Macaca fascicularis: one gene and its partner. The main gene of each other region encodes a partner of the protein of the gene in region 2 in a complex. Links are inferred from orthologs where the notes say so. Each region holds a gene or a part of one and is shown on either strand. Other genes may lie near its edges.

Region 1 (9,546 bases), on a different chromosome or scaffold from region 2:
TAATTATTATTAGCTGGATATGGTGGCAAGCACCTACGGTCTCAGCTACTCAGGAGGCTGAGGTCGGAGGAATGCTTGAGACTGGGTGGTGGAGGCTGCAGTGAGCCATGATCGCACCACTAGAACTTGGGCACCAGAGCAAGACCCTGTCTCAAAAAACAAAAAAAACAAAAAAGTGGATTTAGGAGAGAAAACCAAGGGTATGGTCAAGGGACCATGTGATACAGAGATGAGTACAGACAGAAGGAAGCCAGATGCTATTCGTCAAGCAATGGGAGGATGACCTCTTCAAGGCATTTTGGAGATCTTGGGGTGGGATGAAGGGATGCCATGCCCATCACAGGCCCAGAGTGGTTTCGAGGTACCTCAGGGTTTCCTATAGCTCCCCTGGCTCTCTGCTCCCTGTATTCCAGGGCACCATTACTAAGCCAGACCCTACCAGACACCAAACCTGCTGGTGATTTGTACAAGGACTTCTCAACCTCCAGAATTGTGAGCAATAAATTTCTGTTCTTTATAAATTACCCGGTATGTGGTATTCTGTTATAGCAGTGCAAATAAAGATAGTGATTTATGGGCTGAGTGCGGTGGCTCATGCCTGTAATCCCAGCACTTTGGGAGGCCGAGGCAGGCGGGATCACGAGGTCAGGAGATCGAGACCATCCTGGCCAATATGGTGAAACCTGTCTCTATTAAAAATACAAAAAATTAGCCGGGCATGGTGGTGAGCATCTGTAATCCCAGCTACCTGGGAGCCTCGGGCAAGAGAATTGTTTGAACCCAGGAGGTGGACATTGCAGTGAGCCGAGATCACGCCATTGCACTCCAGCCTGGGTGACAGAGCAAGACTCCGTCAAAAAAAAAAAAAAAAAAAAAAAAGAGAGAGAAGTACATATTTCCCTTCAAAGCGATTTCACTTTGAGAAACTTATTCCACACCTGATAGAAATGGCTTCAAACACTCTAACACTATTTCTGACATTAGGTACTTAATCTTTTTTTTTTTTTTTTTTTGAGACGGAGTCTCGCTCTGCCGCCCAGGCTGGAGTGCAGTGGCCGGATCTCAGCTCACTGCAAGCTCCGCCTCCCGGGTTCACGCCATTCTCCTGCCTCAGCCTCCCCAGTAGCTGGGACTACAGGCGCCCGCCACCTCGCCCGGCTAGTTTTTTGTATTTTTTTAGTAGAGACGGGGTTTCACCGTGTCAGCCAGGATGGTCTCGATCTCCTGACCTCGTGATCCGCCCGCCTCGGCCTCCCAAAGTGCTGGGATTACAGGCCTGAGCCACCGCGCCCGGCCTTAATCTTTTTTTTTAAGACAGTCTTGCTCAAGCTGGAGTGCAGTGGCACGGTCTCGGCTCACTGCAACCTCTGCCTTCTGGTTCAAGCAATTCTCCTGCCTCAACCTCCCAAGTAGCTGGGATTACAGGCATGGACCACCACACCCAGCTACTTTTTGTATTTTTAAAAGAAACAGGGTTTCACCATGTTGGCCAGGATGGTCTTGATGTCTTGACCTCATGATCCACCCGCACTGGCCTCCCAAAGTGCTGAGATTATAGGTGTGAGCCACCGCGCTGGCCACTAACTTTTTCACATAGCAGATTAGATTTCTATGTTCTTCTTTTTTTTTTTTTTTTGACAGTTTCCCTCTTGTTGCCCAAGCTGGAGTGCAATGACGCAATCTCGGCTCACTGCAACCTCTGCTTCCCGGGTTCAAGTGATTCACCTGTGCCAGCCTCCCGAGTAGCTGGCATTACCAGTGCCCGCCACCACACCTGCCTAATTTTTTGTATTTTTAGTAGAAACGGGGTTTCTTCGTGTTAGCCAGGCTGCTTTCAAACTCCTGACCTCAGGTGATCCGCCCGTACTGGCCTCCCAAAGTGCTGGGATTGCAGGTGTGAGCCACCGCACCCGGCCTATATGTTCTTCTATCGGGGGAAAAACACAGTACTAACCATCAGTTCTCTCTCTCCTCTCAATACATCTTATATTTAGGGCCTTCCCCTTTCCTCTGCTGGTCACATCTATCTCTATCAGACATGCAATACACATTTATTTTACCCAATCTGCAGTTTAATGCTCATGCTCATTGGTATTAACTTCTAGAAATCTATATGAGCACAGTGTATTAGTCCGTTCTCACACTGATATGAATACCTGAGACTGGGTAATTTACATAGGAAAAAGCGGTTTCGTTTGTTGGTTTGTTTGTTTTGAGACAGAGTCTCACTCTTGTCATCAAGGCTGGAGCACAATAGTGCGATCTCAGCTCACTGCAACCTCTGCCTCCCGGGTTCAAGCAATTCTCGTGCCTCAGCCTCCTGAGCAGCTGGGTCTACAGGCTCGCACCACCACGACCGACTAATTATTTTATTTTTAGCAGAGACAGGGTTTCGCCATGTGGGCCAGGCTGGTCTGGAACTCCTGACCTCAAGTGATTTGCCAACCTTGGCCTCCCAAACTGCTGGGATTACAGGCGTGAGCCACCGCGCCCAGCCAAGAAAAGGGGTCTAAATTTACTCACAGTTCTGTGTGGTTGCGGATGCCTCAGGAAACCTACAATCATGGAGGAAGGTACCTCTTCACACAGGCAGCAAAAGACAGAATGAGTGTGAGCAGGGGAAATGCCAAACGCTCATAAAACAATCAGATCTTGTGAGAACAGCACGGAGGGGGGGGAACCACTCCCATGACTGACTCAATTCCTTCCCAGTGAGCCCCTCCCAGGACACCTGGGGATTACAAGAACCATAATTCAAGATGTTTGGGTGGTGGCCGGGCACGGTGGCTCAAGCCTGTAATCCCAGCACTTTGGGAGGCCGAGACGGGTGGATCACAAGGTCAGGAGATCGAGACCATCCTGGCGAACACGGTGAAACCCCGTCTCTACTAAAAAATACAAAAAACTAGCCGGGCGAAGTGGCGGCGCCTGTAGTCCCAGCTACTCGGGAGGCTGAGGCAGGAGAATGGCGTAAACCCGGGAGGCGGAGCTTGCAGTGAGCGGAGATCCGGCCACTGCACTCCAGCCTGGACGACAGAGCCAGACTCAGTCTCAAAAAAAAAATAAAAATAAAAAGATGTTTGGGTGAAGACACAGCCAAACCATATCAAACAGAAAGAACATACTTTTTTCCTTAGATTCTTATTTTTATTAATCTACTCATCATTGCCATTATCAAAGCTATCACCTGCTCACTGCCTCTTATATACCAAGCACGGTATAACTCACTTTATGCTCTCACGATCTACGAATATGGATTAGCCCCAGAGAAGTCAAGAGACCCAAGGAAGGTCCTACCACAGTACAAGGGCCTGAGGATCTAACATGGGCCTGTATGACTCCAAGGCTTGTACAAATATTGCTTGTGTAACAGATTACTAAACAGTAACAAATACTAATAAATTATTCAAAAACCATTTCTATTTTTAGAAACCTACATCATTTATATGACATCACAGACTCTGCCATGCAGTGGCATCAACAGCCTCATAATTATCCAGTTTAGCAACAGAAACAGTGTTCCCTCTTACCTGCAGTAGAGTCAACATTCTCCCAGGCAGCTGCTCCACCAAGCACATCATCCACTTCTTTCAGTTTTGGGTACTTCCGATTTGTTACCTAACAAAAACAACACTTCAGACTCCAGGTAACTGCATAGCACAAACCTGGGCTGCCAAACCTCGAATTTCAGGATTATATAAGAGTTCACTCTTCCCACAGTTTCCAACTCCAAACTCCCACAACACAGTACAAAATGTAGTAGCATGCAAACATTAAGACTGAGGTAGCACCAACATATTCTTTTTTTTGTTTTGTTTTGTTTTGTTTTTTGAGACGGAGTCTCGCTCTGTCGCCCAGGCTGGAGTGCAGTGGCGCGATCTCGGCTCACTGCAAGCTCCGCCTCCTGGGTTTACGCCATTCTCCTGCCTCAGCCTCCTGAGTAGCTGGGACTACAGGCGCCCGCCACCGCGCCCGGCTAATTTTTTGTATTTTTAGTAGAGACGGGGTTTCACCGTGGTCTCGATCTCCTGACCTTGTGATCCGCCCGCCTCGGCCTCCCAAAGTGCTGGGATTACAGGCGTGAGCCACCGCGCCCGGCGGTAGCACCAACATATTCTAACTTCTAAAAATAAAGGTATTCTGGCCAGACGTCGTGGCTCATGCCTGTAATCCCAGCACTTTGGGAGACCAAGGCAAGTGGATCACCTGAGGTCAGGAGTTCGAGACCAGCCTGGTCACCGTGGTGAAACCCCGTCTTTACCAAAAATACAAAAATTAGCTGGGGGGTGGTGGCAGGAGCCTGTAATCCCAGCTACTCAGGAAGCTAAGGCAGAAGAATTGTTTGAACCCGGGAGGCAGAGGTGGCAGTGAGCCGAGATTGCACCATTGCACTCCAGCCTGGGAAGCAAAGCCAGACTGTGTCTCAAAAAAAAAAAAAAAAAGCTGGGCACGGTGGCTCACGCCTGTAATCCCAGCACTTTGGGAGGCCAAGGCAGGCGGATCACAAGGTCAGGAGATCGAGACCATCCTGGCTAATACACGGGGAAAGCCTGTCCACTAAAAACACAAAAAAATTGGCCAGGCGTGGTGGCTCACACCTGTAATCCCAGCACTTTGGGAGGCCGAGGCGGGCGGATCACAAGGTCAGGAGATTGAGACCATCCTGGCTAACACGGTGAAACCCTGTCTCTACTAAAAATATTAAAAATTAGCCGGGCGTGGTGGTGGGCGCCTATAGTCCCAGCTACTAGGGAGGCTGAGGCAGGAGAATGGCGTGAACACGGGAGGCGAAGCTTGCAGTGAACCGAGATGGCGCCACTGCACTCCAGCCTGGGCGACAGAGGGAGACTCCGTCTCAAAAAAAAAAAAAAAAGTAAAAGTATTCTAAAAAGTAAAAAGAAAATATGTATTATCAAAGGAAAACAACAAGTTATAATAAAGCATGCATCATCTGCTTACTGAACACCTACTATATTCTAGGTTTCATTTTAGTTGTTCAGAATATAACATAGAAGGGAACAAAACGGAAAACCTCTGCCCTCCTAGACCTTAGGTCCTACTTTTTTTTTCTTTTTTTTGAAACGGAGTTTCACTCTTGTTGCCCAGGCTGGAGTGCAGTGGCGCGATCTTGGCTCACTGAAACCTCCGCCGCCCAAGTTCAAGCCATTCTCCTGCCTCGGTCTCCCGAATAGCTGGGATTACAGGCGCCTGCCACCATGCCCGGCTAATTTTTGTATTTTTAGTAGAGATGGGGTTTCATCATGTCAGTCAGGCTGGTCTCGAACTCCTAACCTCAAGTGATACACCCGCCTTGGCCTCCGAAAGTGCTGGGATTAGAGGCGTGAGCCACGGCGCCCGGCCAGGTCCTACTATTAATAAACAAAGCACACGATACATTACGTAATGTATTCGAAGGTAACAAGCCCTGTGGAAACAATTACAAAGGGAAGGAGGATACATTGGACGGAGGGGCTGCAATTTAAAATACGGTAAAGACAAGACCAATGAGTAAGGTGGCTATCTAGGGGAAGAGCGAAGTTAGTAACAGTAAGTGCAAAGGCCCTGCGAGCGCCATGTGCACAATGAGAGATCGTCCAGGAGGCTGGTGTTGATGGGGCAAAGGGCAATAGGACTTGAAATCGGAGAAGCAAGTCGGGGAGGGGGTCAGTGTCTGAACATGGTAGGCCCTGGAAGAATTCCAGCTTTTCGTCTGCACGAGCTGGGGAACGGCCGAAGGTTTCTGCGCACAGCACGGACCTACGTGCCTCAGCTTTAAGGGAATCGCCGTGGCCGCTGCTGTGAACGCAGAGGAGGGCGCAAGCGTGGGAGCAGGAACCCAAGGAGGCGGGAAACGGTGGGGCTTTCTGAGTGTGCTGGAGCCCACAGAAAGAGCCCACAGATCTGCTGCAGACCGGAAGGGGGAGCGAGAAAGAGCGGACAGAGGCAGACGCCGGGGCTGGCGGCGATGGCGCCGCAGTCGGAGGAAGGGGAAGGCCTGCGAGAGGCGCCCGCGGCCCAGCGCCGGCCTTCGGGTCCCACCTTGCGGGTGATGTTGTGCACGTAGGGGCACGTGTTGCAGGCGAAGCGGTGGCAGCGTTGTCCCTCCTCCACGATCAGCCCGTTCCCGCAGCCGGGGCAGAATAGCAGCATGGTCTCGAACTCCGCAGGCGCCAACCACCGGCAGCTCACACTGCCGCTCAGCGCCGACGCGCGGCCCGCCTCGAGCTTACATTGGTCCTGGCGGCCGCCTCGCCCCGCCCACCAACCAATAGACAGGGCGATTCTGCGCTCCCAGCCCTGCTGCTGGCTGTCTCGCACTTGTCATTGGTCACTGCAGCCGCCCCACCCCTCGGCGCACCAATGGCTGGGCGGCCTCGCTGGGACCGGCCGCAGTTCCTGCGCGTGCGCGCTTGGCCTCCCTAGTGCGTACTGGAAGTGCCGGCAGAGACCGGCTGAGAGGTGCTGCCCTGGAGGAGATGGAGGCCGCGGGTGGGTCCGAGGCGCAAGAGGAAGATGAGGACGAAGAAGAGGCGCTGCCGCACTCCGAGGCCATGGACGTGTTCCAGGAGGGTCTGGCTATGGTGGTGCAGGACCCGCTGCTCTGCGATCTGCCGATCCAGGTGTGTGCTGGCGGGGGCCAGGGGGGCGGGAGTCGTTCCCCGGGGGCCGGGCGTCCGGGCGCGCGCAGCCTCTGAAGGTGCTGGTGGGAGGCTGCGGCCCAAGGCTGAGGAAGGCGCCTCTGGGCGTAAACAAGGGTCTTTACCTTGGCCAGGCACACTCGCCTGCGGCGCGAAGTTTAAAGAGGAACCAAAACCCTCATTAGTGAGTGACATTAAATGAAATTTTAATGTAATTGTATTTAGGGGGCTGGGGGGACAGGGTCTTGCTCTGTCGCCCAGGCTGGAGTGCAGTGGAGCGATCTTGGCTCACTGCAGCCTGCACCTCCTGAGCTCAAGCCATCCTCCCACCTCAGCCTCCGGAGTAATTGGGACCACAGATGCGCGCCACCACACCCGGCTAATTTTTAAATTTTTTGTACAGAGGGAGTCCCACTATGTTGCCCAGGCTGGTGTCAAACTCCTGGGCTCAGGCGATTCTCCTACCTCAGCCTCCCAAAAAGCTGGGATTATAGGTGTGAGCCACCCACTCGGCCTGTAATAGCTTTAAAAGTCAAAGGTGATGCAAAAAAAAAAAAAAAAAAAAAAAAAACCCTACGATAAACGAAAAAACTTAGTTCCATTTGCCTCAAGCGTCAATATGCTTTGGCACGATACTTTTTATTTATTTGAGACTGAGTCTTGATTTGTCGCCAGGCTGGAGTGTAGTGGTGCGATCTTGGCTCACTGCAACCTCCCACTCCCAGGTTCACTACAGGAACACGGCACAACGCCCGGCTAATTTTTTGTATTTTAGTGGAGACGGGGTTTCACCATGTTGGCCAGGATGGTCTCAATCTCCTGATCTAGTGATCCGCTGGCCTCGGCCTCCCAAGTGCTGGGATTACAGGCGTGGACCACCGCACCCGGCCAGTTTTAAATGTTTTATATTTTGCTCATCATGGATATTTTAATTGCCTTGTATTTCTTAAATGTTGTATTAAAATATTTGTTATTACCGTTTTTTGTGTACACCTGCCTTACTCAGTCCTGGGCCCTGGCCTGGGTCCTGATGATCAGGGATACTCAGGGTGAACTGACAGGACCCCACCCACCCCTGGGGATGGATCCTCATGTGAGTTTATTCTCTTGCCTGTTTTTTAGCACCTCTTTCCCCCAGAGACTCTGTCCACTTTGGACATTAAAATGTGAGTGGAACATGAGATTGGGGCTCTGATGAATTGGGAAACTCTAACATATATGCAAGTACCCTTCCTTGCCCTTCGTAAAATGGAGCACCACTTTTTGGCCACTGTCAGCTTGTTCTTTGTTGTTGTAAAGACAGCCAGGGTTCCCACTTCTGCCCTTGGTCTTTTCTAGGTTACTTTGGAAGAAGTCAACTCCCAAATAGCCCTAGAATATGGCCAGGCAATGACGGTCCGAGTGTGCAAGATGGATGGAGAAGTAATGCGTAAGTGTGCCCTCCTCCCTTCAGGTTATGTGGTCCAGGCTTTCACAGCAGCAAAATGTAACAGTGCTGGTCAGCCTGCTCCGCAACTCACAGGCCATGCCCAGGGGTACTGGGGCAACCACAAACCTGCCCTGTGCACAGAGCTTCCGGGTTCCTTTCCTGCCATCGGAGGCTATGGCTTTGGGTTCTCACTGTGGATCTTCTCCCATCTGTGTCCGTGGTTGCAGCTGTGGTGGTAGTGCAGAGTGCCACCGTCCTGGACCTGAAGAAGGCCATCCAGAGATACGTGCAGCTCAAGCAGGAGCGTGAAGGGGGCATTCAGCACATCAGCTGGTAAGTGGAACGACAATCCCTTCATTATAGCCCTTCCTGGGGCTAGTGCTGTTCTTGGCACTGTCACCAGGCACCACCTGGAAACAGCTCTCAACTCTGCATGAGTACAGCACCACTGAAGTGATGAGCTCCCCGTCACAAGAGTTCAGACAGTGCAGGTCCTTCTGTGCCTGGGACTCCTGCCTCGGCCATCCCTAACATACTGCTTTCATCGCCATCACCCCATCCAAGCTGCTGGATATCCTCACTTGGGGACCCCGTCGGGCATTTCCAGTGTGTGTGGAAGTGGCCTCCCTAGTTATGGATGGTACACCTGTAGTGGCTACCATCCCCTTCTCACCTGGGTGCTGGCAGCCCTCACTCTCCTATTGGATCAACTGTCCTGTTCACTGAGTCTCAACACTGTCACCTATTGCATTAGCAAGCCGCCCCATACAGGCCTCTGAGAACAGAGCCTCCGTGCAGCCGCCTCAGAGCCAATTTGCACATTGTACAGAACAGCCCAGGTAGGGAGGACAGCTGCCCCAGGTCCCATAGGGCTGAATGCCTCAAGCCCACGCCATGCACAGCCACTCAGCTCACCCTGCTCAGGGCGTGTGGTTTACCTGCGTTCCCCTCTTGCAGGTCTTATGTGTGGAGGACGTACCATCTGACCTCTGCCGGAGAGAAACTCACAGAAGATAAAAAGAAGCTCCGAGAGTAAGTGCCGGCCACATCTTGAGCTGTAGGGGACAGCTGTTCTGTTGACCCCTAGTCCCCCGTGCTCTGCCAGAGGGCTGCGGCTCACTCTCTGGAGGTAACACCCTCCTCCAAGGAGCTTCCTTGGGGCCCTCCCCACTAGGAGAATGGCAGGCAGAGGGCACTGGAGGGGCCTTGCTGCTTCCCACCAGTGGCAGCTTAGGGCTACACAGTGCCAGGAGGGAGGAAATCAGAGTGGGCATGGAAGCGAAAGGCTATGACTATCTGACACTCAGTTCCCTGCCCCAGGGACTTGTGAGTCAGAGTGCTTCTGGGTCTGTGAGAGGATGGCCACTACCACTTCCTGGCCTTCCCAGAGGCCACATGCCTCCCCTCTGTTGTTTCTTCGTGGCCCCCCACAAGCCTAAGGAGGGGAGTCACAGATGTGTCCTTCTGTAGGGCAGGTGC
Region 2 (9,546 bases):
TGTTTGTGATCCAAGAGGGATTCAAAATCGGGGGAACATACAAGTTTGTGCTTCACGTGTCCCAGGACTGTCATCTCCCCTGTCCTACTGTCTCCAAGGCCCACGGACACCAGCTCCTGCCAATGGACAGAGACAGTGATGAGAACCACCACCACGTGCCCAGCGTGTAGAGCTGTGAATGGGGACATGATACTCCCAGAAACCCCCTCCCTTATTTAGCACTGGCTCTTCAATCCTCCTCCACTCCTTAAAGGGTCCCTCCCTTGCCCTAAGGAGGCTCTTACCTGCAAGAAGGAGCAGGCTGTTCCCATGGTCACGTCCAGAGTCACCTTGCCCAGGAGGAGTTGCACCCTTCCAGACTTGCGGATGAGTAGCTTGCCAACCTGACCCTCTGTCAGGTCAGCCAGGGTACAAGCATTCTCTGCCAGCTTGGCTTCCTGCGCAGAAAACCAGAAGATGGACACTGGGCTAGGAGCTCTTTCCTCCATCTTTCATGAACCCCCTTCTACTCCCTAAGAGTAAGGCACAGCAAAGGTCAGAATGAGCTCCCCAAAGAGTGCCTTCTCCTAGGGCTGTCGGCTATGGTTAAAATACAAAACCCATAGCAAACAAATACATAAACGGACAAAATATCAGTAACTGCTGAAGCTGAGTTCTGGTACATGGCAGTTTATGTTCTCATTTTTTTTTGAGACAAGGTCTGACTGTGTCACCCAGATTGGGGTGTGGTGGCGCGATCTTGGCTCACTGCAACCTCTGCTTCCTGGGCTCAAGCCATCCCCCCACCTTAGCCTCCCAAGTAGCAGGGACTACAGGCACACGCCACCATGCCTGGCTAGTTTTTGTATTAGCCATGGTGCCACCATGTTGCCCAGGCCAGTCCCGATCTCCTGGGCTCAAGTGATCCTCCCGTCTTGCCCTTCCAAAGTGCTAGGATTAGAGGCATGAGCCACCGCACCTGGCCATATGTTCTCTCATTTGTTTTTTTTTTTTTTTTTTTTTTTGAGACGGAGTCTCGCTCTGTCACCCAGGCTGGAGTACTGTGGCCGGATCTCAGCTCACTGCAAGCTCCGCCTCCCGGGTTCCCGCCATTCTCCTGCCTCAGCCTCCCGAGTAGCTGGGACTACAGGCACCCACCACCTCACCCGGCTAGTTTTTTGTTTTTTTTTAGTAGAGACGGGGTTTCACCGTGTTAGCCAGGATGGTCTCAATCTCCTGACCTCGTGATCCGCCCGTCCCAGCCTCCCAAAGTGCTGGGATTACAGGCTTGAGCCACCGCGCCCGGCCTGTTCTCTCATTTGTATGTCTTTGAAATATTTCCTTATAAGAAGTGAACACACATCCCTGCAACACACACACACAATTGGGGTTGGAGGTACAAAGACCCATGGCTCTTGCAGGCATCAAGAAAAACCACCCATTATTGTCCCATTTCAGCCAGGGTGGCACGGCTTTGCTTCCCACTACAGGTCACCACTTCCCCTCTTAGTCCCCGACTCTATCCCACAGGCCTCTGCCTGAGCATACCCGGTCTTTCTCCTGCTTGATGAGCATCATCTGTCCATCCTCACCCTGCACCTCTGTCTTGATGGGCTTGATGTCCTGGGTGGGCGGCTGGCCAGGGAGGGTGTCTGGCAGCTGCAGAAACAGCAGTTCCTCCTCCTTGGTGAGGCTCAGCTCCCTGAGCAGCTCTGCCACGGATACATCCTTTGGGAGGCCTGGGGTCTTCCTGGCTGCTTTGGGGGGAGCCTTCATCTTGGCCTCTTCCTCATCTCGTGGCTCCTCTTTCACTGCCCGGGTGATAGAAATGGAATGCTATCACATGACCACCCTCCATACTAGCTCACTGTTACCAGCCCTTTGCCCCCGTCTGCTCCACTGTCACTCAGCCAGGGAGTGGGAAGGGGGCACTGGTTATAGAGAGGGGCAAGAGACAACATGTTTAAATCTCGCCTGACTTATCTAAAAAGCGACATCTGAGGCTGGGCCCACCGCTCCATGCCAACACAGGAACCCTCTGCGAGGGAGAATCGGGCATCTTTGTTCAGCTCATGTATCTTACAGCCGGGATGGGAGGACCTGCTCATGAGCAGCAGTCAGGGACACATGCAAAGGATGCCTGATGCACAGGATTCCTGGGGAGCAGCCATGGAATTGGAGATGAGAAGTTAACTGACAAGAGTACCTTTCACAGCAGGTACGTCCACCTCCATGTCTTCTTCCTTGGGGCCAGTCAGCCAAGGTTTAACATCTGGTTCGTCATTTTCTTCCTTAAAAAGCCACCCCGAGTGAGCCAGCGGCAGCTGCACAGGCATATTTCGAGTGTCGTTCCTCAGCCCGGGGTCATCGAGGAACTGCCAAAAAGAGTCTGGGTCATCCAGCCTGCTAGCACATGCACCTGGATCAAAGTCTGCTTTAGTCCCTTTCTAACCAAAGATTCCTGCTGCTCCCCAGGATTCCAGGACATCAGTGAGCTCTTCTGCCCCTCACCTGGCTCCCCAGAAGCCCTGTTCTACAGCCACAAGGAAGCCCCTTCCCCACAGCCTCCTGGTACCCACATCGTCCTTCTCCAGCATGCGCAAGATCTGTTTAGTTTCTTCGTCTGTCTCTCTCTTCTCTTTTTTGATGTTGATGATATGAGAAGGTCCCATGTCTGATACATCCACTGTCTTATCCCAGTTCCCTGTGGGAAATCACCCAGGTCACTAGGGATCAATAAGGAAGATGCCAACAGCAAGGAAAACTGAACTGGGAGCGGGGAAATTCCACTGCTCTCGCCCTTCTCTTGGGCAGTCTGAACTGAAATTCACTGATTCCTTCCTTGTACCTTTTTTCTTCATCATTTCGGCTGGGCCCTGCTCAAAGATGGAGTGAGACTGGATCACTTCTGGGCGGCCTCGTCCTCGTCCATGCCCCTCTCGCTGTCGGTCTCTGTCCCTTTCACGCTTCTCCTTCTTGACAGTTACTTCTTCCTTGGGCCTGGAAAAAAGAATGGATTAAGGGAAACCACTCACTCACTGTGTCTCCAAAAACTGGCCTTACTCTCCCATACCACTTCACTCCAAGACAGCGGAGAGTTTGAGCCAATAATTACACCATGAGAAGCAGAATCCAATCCTAATTCTAGCACTTTTCTCACTTCCTTGATGAGGCAGGATTTTTTCAGTTTGCTTTACTTTACGTTCTTGTCCAAAAATGTAGATTTTTGTTTGCATTGGGACTGAAAGCAGGAAGGCAGAAATGCAAAGGAACTTCAGGGAAAGCGTGATACATCTTTGTTTAAACTATTGGCTCTCAACTCGGGCCATCAAAGAGAATCACTCCATTCTACTGCCAACAAGTTAAATCACAATTTCTAGAGATGGAACCCTAGACACCAGTATTTTTTTTTTTTAAAGCTTAAACATTAGAATCACCTAGGAGCCAGGGTTGAAAATCACTAGTGAAAAGAACTAAAGATATAAATTTAAATTTTGGAGCCACAAACCTACTTATTTCTCCCCAAAGCCCCAAATTCAGAGCAAGTAAATAAGGGGCAAGTATTCAGAAGGACTAGCTACTTACTCTTCCTTGATCTTCCGACTGATGATATTTGGGGTGAAGGTTTTCTGAAAGCAAAATACAGGAGTCACTGATGTGTTAGGTCCTGATCCCAAAGTACAGAGGAAAATAAAAACTCCCAACGGGCATCTTCTACAGACCACGGCCACCATGACTCTCTTTGGCACATTCCACAGTGCTGTCAGTTTTCTAGATACACGTGTGCCTGAAAAGGAGGAACGTCATGGTGTGGTGGCAGTGGAGTTATGCATAGAAGAAAGGGGCACCAAAAACCATTTTTAACCAGCAGCCTTAGGAAAGAAGATCCTGAAAGAAGGTCCTCTGGGACTTCTAAAAGCAAAGGAATTTCTCTGGTCTCACCTCTTATCTTCAAACTGCTATAGAGACCAGTCAGTATCATGGGGGAACATCTCTAGCAGCAAGGCCTAAGTAGGGAAGGCCACAGATCTGCCAATACTCTCAATCACTGTTGGCAGTGTTTTTCCATATTTTCCAAGGCAAAGTTAGGTTTCTAAAGACTGCTTTATGTCCAGGCGTGGTGGCTCACGCCTGTAATCGCAGCACTTTGGGAGGCCAAGGCAGGTGGATCATGAGGTCAGGAGTTCAAGATCAGCCTGGCCAAGATGGTGAAACCCCGTCTCTACTAAAAACTACAAAAATTAGCCAGGTGCGGTGGCAGGCCTCTGTAATCCCAGCTACTCGGGAGGCTGAGGGAGGAGAATCGCTTGAACCCCAGGAGGTGGAGGTTGCAGTGAGCTGAGATGGTGCCTCTGTGCTACAGCCTGGGCGACAGAAAGAGACTCTGTTAAAAACAAAACAAACAAACAAAAAAAACTGCTTTATTTGGCCGGGAGCGGTGGCTCACGCCTGTAATCCCAGCACTTTGGGAGGCCGAGGTGGGTGGATCACAAGGTCAGGGGTTCAAGAACAGCCTGGCCAACATGGTGAAACCTTGTGTCTACTAAAAATACAAAAATCAGCTGGACATGGTGGCGGGCACCTGTAATCCCAGCTACTCAGGAGGCTGAGGCAGGAGAATCACTCAAACCCGGGAGGCAGAGGTTGCAGTGAGCCAAGATCATGCCATTACACTCCAGTTTGGGGGACTAGGGCGAGACTTCGTCTCAAAAAAAAAACCCAAAAACCTGCTTTATTCTTCTGTCATCCTGACACCACCCCTTTCTGGGCTACTCTTGACATCCACAGTCATATACACATGGGACAGCCCACAGAGCCTCGAATGCCATGCCTAGGATTCATGATACTCTAGATAACAAGTTTGCACACTGAGATGGTGAATTCTGAACGCTCTAAGACTGTGAAGTTTATGCCTGCCTGGCTTTCATGGGTTTCTTAAAAATGTCCAAACACACAATAAGAGTAAATAAACACTGTTCAAATTACTTTTGAACGACTTTAACTTATTAGGATTCTCTGTCTTTCAACCACCTCTGGGACTCATTTCAACATTTTGTACTCAGTACCTAGATTTGAAGATAGGACAGGCTCCCTAGAATTTAAAGAGGGGTAGGCTTGAGGCCCAACGACACTCCTGACACATAGTAGGCCCTACACAAACATCAGTTGAATGCCGGGGCTTGGAATTCAAGGTAGTTGAGTTTCTTTAGAAACGCGCCGTTGGATACCTTCTTGACTCCCCCGAGGGTGAGGTCCCTGGAACGGATGGAGGGAAGGCGGCCGGGGGTGAGGGGAGGCGCCGGCCGCCGCCCGATGAGCCCCCGGGCCCCAGTCAGGAGGGGTCGGGGCCCTCCCGGAGTGCTGGGCTCGCCGGCGGCGTTTCCTTCCGACATGTTGCCTGGGAGAGAAGGGGGGACGAGATTACCAGAGTGGACTGACACGCGGACCCTGGCGGAACCCAACCCCCTTGCTTTCCGGTCCCCCAGTCGGTGCGTCCCTCCAGTGGCCTCTCAGCTCCTCCCCTCCCACGTGGCGAGATTCCCGGGACCACCCAGGTGAGAGCCTTTGGCTCGCGACACGCCCTCTCTCCAGGAACCCCGCCCAGGAACCAGGCAGGGACGCACCCGGGCCGCGGCTCCACACCGCGCGTCACCACTTCACCTGCGACGCGACCCGCTGCCAGCTTTAGGTCTCCGCACCGGGCGGAAGTCTGCGTGGCACCGCCTGGGCGCTGCCATCTTGGCACGGGCCGGATGTGACGTTTCGGGGGCGGGACTGGGCCACAGTATTTATCAGGCGGCGCTTCGCTCCCCTCCGCCTTCTCTTCCCGGTTCTTCCCGGAGTCGGGAAAAGCTGGGTTGAGAGGGCGAAAAAGGATGAGGGAACCGGTCTGGGCTACGCTATGTGGCGGTGCTCGGGGGTCTTGGCCCCCGGGCGGTGGCGTGGAGGTGCCGAGATCAGGGTCGCGGGTCTTGTCGGCCGCCAAGCCGCAATGTGAGGCTTCGCCTCGGCGGAGCCCCTGGGAGCTTGGGGGTAGCTGCTCGGGATGGGACGAGGGGCGCGGCACAGAGAGCGAGACCTGGACTTAGAGTCGGGGAGTCTTGGGCCGTGCCGAGCCCTGTCTGCGGGTTCTCCATGGTGACCTTGGAGTGGTCACTACCTCCGGGCAGCGACCTCGCCCACTCTCGGGGACCCCTTCCCTGTGCTCCTGGTGGAGTCCTGGGGTGAGGCTGTGAGGGCAGCGTTGGAACAGCCGCAGTGGACCAACTGGTGCCCAGTCACACCCGCTTGGGATCACGAAGGCGGTGGCCCTCGGGTGCGCTCTTGGTCAAAGCCTGGACAGAATCGGAATACCAAGTTTGCTCTACTGCTGGAGGAATTTAAAGAACTTTTATTGACTCCAGCGTTTGTGATATAAAAAGTGTCGTTTAATGTTATCTCCCATCCCCCCAGACCGTATAAAAACATTATTACGGGGAGTTTGAGGAAAGGAAATCGTTTCTACCAGAATGCCACGTAGAGTACTACTATTAAAAATTTTGTAATGTGTCTAGTAGTCTTCACAGAGTTGTATCACAATTTCGTATCCTTTTTCTTTTCTTTTTTTGAGGCGAGGTTTCTGCATACTGCAACCTCTGCCTCCCAGCCTCAAGCCATGCTCCCACCTCAGCCTCCCAAGTAGCTGGGACTCTAAATACATGCCACCACGCCCGGCTAATTTTTTTTTTCTTTTTTCTTTTTCTTTTTCTTTTTTCTTTTTTTTTTTTTTTTGTATTTTTGGTAGAGACGGGATTTCACTGTGTTGCTCACACTGGTCTTGAACTCCTGAGCTCGAGTGATGCCACCCGCCTCGGCCTCCCAATGTGCTGGGGTTACAGGCGTCAGCCACTGCGCCTGGCCTGTATCCTGCTTTTTCAAATAACATTTCTCTGTTACGGCATCAAAGACTGCATAGTTCTCCAGTGGCTGTATCATGATTTAAGTATTTCCCTGATTGTTTCTTTTTTCCCTGTTTTAAATAATGCTGTAGTGAATATCTGGTACATTCGACGTGCTTTTTTTCAATTTTGTTTTGGTTTTTGTTTTCTTTCGGATTATATTCCTGGGATAGATTTCCCGTCCTGGGATAACTGGCCAAAAGAAGGTGGGTTTTTTTTTTGTTTTTTGTTTTTTTTTTTTTTTTTTTTTTTTTTAAAGTAAATATTTGGGATGGGCTTGGTGGCTTACGCTTGTAATCCCAGTGCTTTGGGAGGCGGAGGTGGGAGGATCGCTTGAAAGGCTCAGCAGTTCGAGATTGCAGTGAGCTACGATCCAGCCCCCACACTCCAGCCTGGGTGACACAGCAAGACCCTATCTCTAAAAACATTTTTTAAATTAAACTTTTTATTTTGAGAACATGGTAGATTCATGTAGAGTTATAAGAAACCATGTAGAGAGATCCCAAGTATTGTTTATTCATTTTCCCCCAGTAGTAACATCTTGCCATCAGAATATTGACATTGGTGCAGTCAAGATACAAGAAGTTACCATCACAAGGATTCCTCTAGCTGCCCTTTTATAGCCACACTTCCCTCCCCCCACCTCCTCCCACCACTAATCTGTTTTCCATTTCTGCCATTTTGGTATTTCAAAAGTGTTATATAAATGGAATCGTACAGTATGTGACTTCTTGGGATTGCTTTTTTCACTCGGCATTGTTCCCCGGAGATCATCCAAGTTGTTGCGTGTATCAATAGTTCGTTCCCTTTTATTGCAAAGTATTCATGGTTTGTTTAACCATTCACCCTCTGAAAGACATCTGGGTGGTTTTCCGTGTGGGGTTATTATGGATAAAGCTGCTGTGAAAATACATGTACAAGATTTTGTGTGAACATAAGTTTTTATTTCTCTGGGATAATTGCCCATGAGTGCAATCATTGGGTCATGTGGTAGTTGTATCTTAGTTTTACAAGAAACTGCCAAGCTGTTTTCCACAGTGGCTGTACCATTTTGTACGTGCACATTTTATGGTTCTTCATTCATATTGCTAAATTGCTTTCAAAAAGGATTGTGCGGCCGGGCCTGGTGGCTCACACCAGTAATCCCAGCACTTTGGAAGGCCAAGGTGGGCAGATCACTTGAGGTCAGGAGTTCCAGACCAGCTGGCCAACATGGCGAAACCCCGTCTCTACTAAAAATACAAAAATTAGCTGGGTGTGATGGTGCATGCCCATAATTCCAGCTACTTGGGAGGCTGAGGCACGAGAATCGCTTGAACCGGGGAGGCGGAGGTTGCAGTGAGCTGAGATCACGCCGTTGCACTCCAACCTGGGCGACAGGGGGACAGTCTGTCTCAAAACACCAAAAACAAACAAACTCCACAAAAAAAAATAAAAAAGATTGTGCTGAAATACATCAACACTAAGAATGTGTGTATATACAATAATCAAATGTATACACATATACACACATTGTGGGCTTTTGATGGAGTCCTGGGTGAGGCTATGTGGGCAGCCTTGGAACAGCCACAATGGGTCAACCGGTGCCTAGTCACACCCATCCTGGGCTCACAGCAGTGGCCCTCATGTGCACTCATTGTCAAAGCCTGGAAGGAATCTGAATACCAAGTTTGCTCTACTGTTGGAATTTAAAGAACTTTTATTGGCTAGGTGTGGTGGCTCATGCCTGTAATGCCAGCACTTTGGGAGGCTGAGGCGGGTGGATCACCTGAGGTCAGGAGTTCGAGACCAGCCTGGCCAACATGGTGAAACCCTGTCTCTACTAAAAGTACAAAAATTAGCCAGGCGTGGTGGCGGGCATCAGTAATCCCAGCTACTTGGGAGGTTGAGGCCGGAGAATCGCTTGAACCCAGGAGAAGGAGATTGCAGTGCGCCAAGATTGCGCCATTGCACTCCAGCCTGGGCGACAAGAGCAAAACTCCATCTGAAAACAAACAAACAAACAGGCTGGGCGCAGTGGCTCACACCTATAATCCCAGCACTTTGGGAGGCCAAGGTGGGCGGATCACAAGGTCAGGAGTTCGAGACTAGCCTGACCAACATGGTGAAAACCCATCTCTACTAAAAATACAAAAATTAGCTGGGCGTGGTGGCATGCGCCTGTAATCCCAGCTACTTGGGAGGCTGAGGCAGGAGAATAGGTTGAATCCGGGAGGCGGATGTTGCAGTGAGCCGAGATCGCGCCACTGCACTCCAGCCTGGGAGACAGAGGAAGACTCCGTTTCAAAAAAAAAAAAGAACTTTTATTGACTTTGAAATTTATTGACTCCGTACACACACACACACACACACACGCACACACAGGTAGTACATAAGAATATATAATTTTAGGGTGTAGTGGCACCCACCTGTAGTGCCAGCTACTTGGGAGGCTGAGGTGAGAGGATCGATTGATCCCAGGAGGTGGAGGCTGCAGTGAGCTCTGATTGTGCTACTGCACTCCAGCCTGGGAGACAGAGGAGACCTTGTCTCAAAAAAACAAACAAAAAAGAGAATATATAATTTTTTGTCCACATCCTTTTGAGTATTGGCTCTTAAAATTTAAAACTTTGTTTGCCAATTTACTAAT

What was found. Proteins that work in one complex are often made in the same cells at the same time.
Region 1: POLR3D (region 2) and POLR3K share a complex: the UniProt entries of both Homo sapiens proteins name them as parts of the RNA polymerase III complex. The link is inferred for Macaca fascicularis from reciprocal best matches to the Homo sapiens genes POLR3D and POLR3K.

The regions. Positions count from the first base shown.
Region 1 is NC_088394.1:778,470-788,015, forward strand, and holds the start of POLR3K (DNA-directed RNA polymerase III subunit RPC10), read right to left. Parts: upstream 6,203-9,546; 5' UTR 6,151-6,202; coding exon 6,040-6,150; intron 3,619-6,039; coding exon 3,531-3,618; intron 1-3,530. Other genes in the region: SNRNP25 (U11/U12 small nuclear ribonucleoprotein 25 kDa protein), read left to right, coding at 6,477-6,620, 7,977-8,067, 8,295-8,400, 9,025-9,099. UniProt on the Homo sapiens protein: Core component of RNA polymerase III (Pol III) which synthesizes small non-coding RNAs using the four ribonucleoside triphosphates as substrates. Can mediate Pol I proofreading of the nascent RNA transcript.
Region 2 is NC_088382.1:25,313,539-25,323,084, reverse strand, and holds the start of POLR3D (DNA-directed RNA polymerase III subunit RPC4), read right to left. Parts: upstream 5,726-9,546; 5' UTR 5,641-5,725; exon of another isoform or gene 5,604-5,640; intron 5,378-5,603; 5' UTR 5,373-5,377; coding exon 5,208-5,372; intron 3,609-5,207; coding exon 3,565-3,608; intron 2,980-3,564; coding exon 2,828-2,979; intron 2,684-2,827; coding exon 2,559-2,683; intron 2,355-2,558; coding exon 2,186-2,354; intron 1,791-2,185; coding exon 1,528-1,790; intron 438-1,527; coding exon 285-437; intron 117-284; coding exon 1-116. UniProt on the Homo sapiens protein: DNA-dependent RNA polymerase catalyzes the transcription of DNA into RNA using the four ribonucleoside triphosphates as substrates.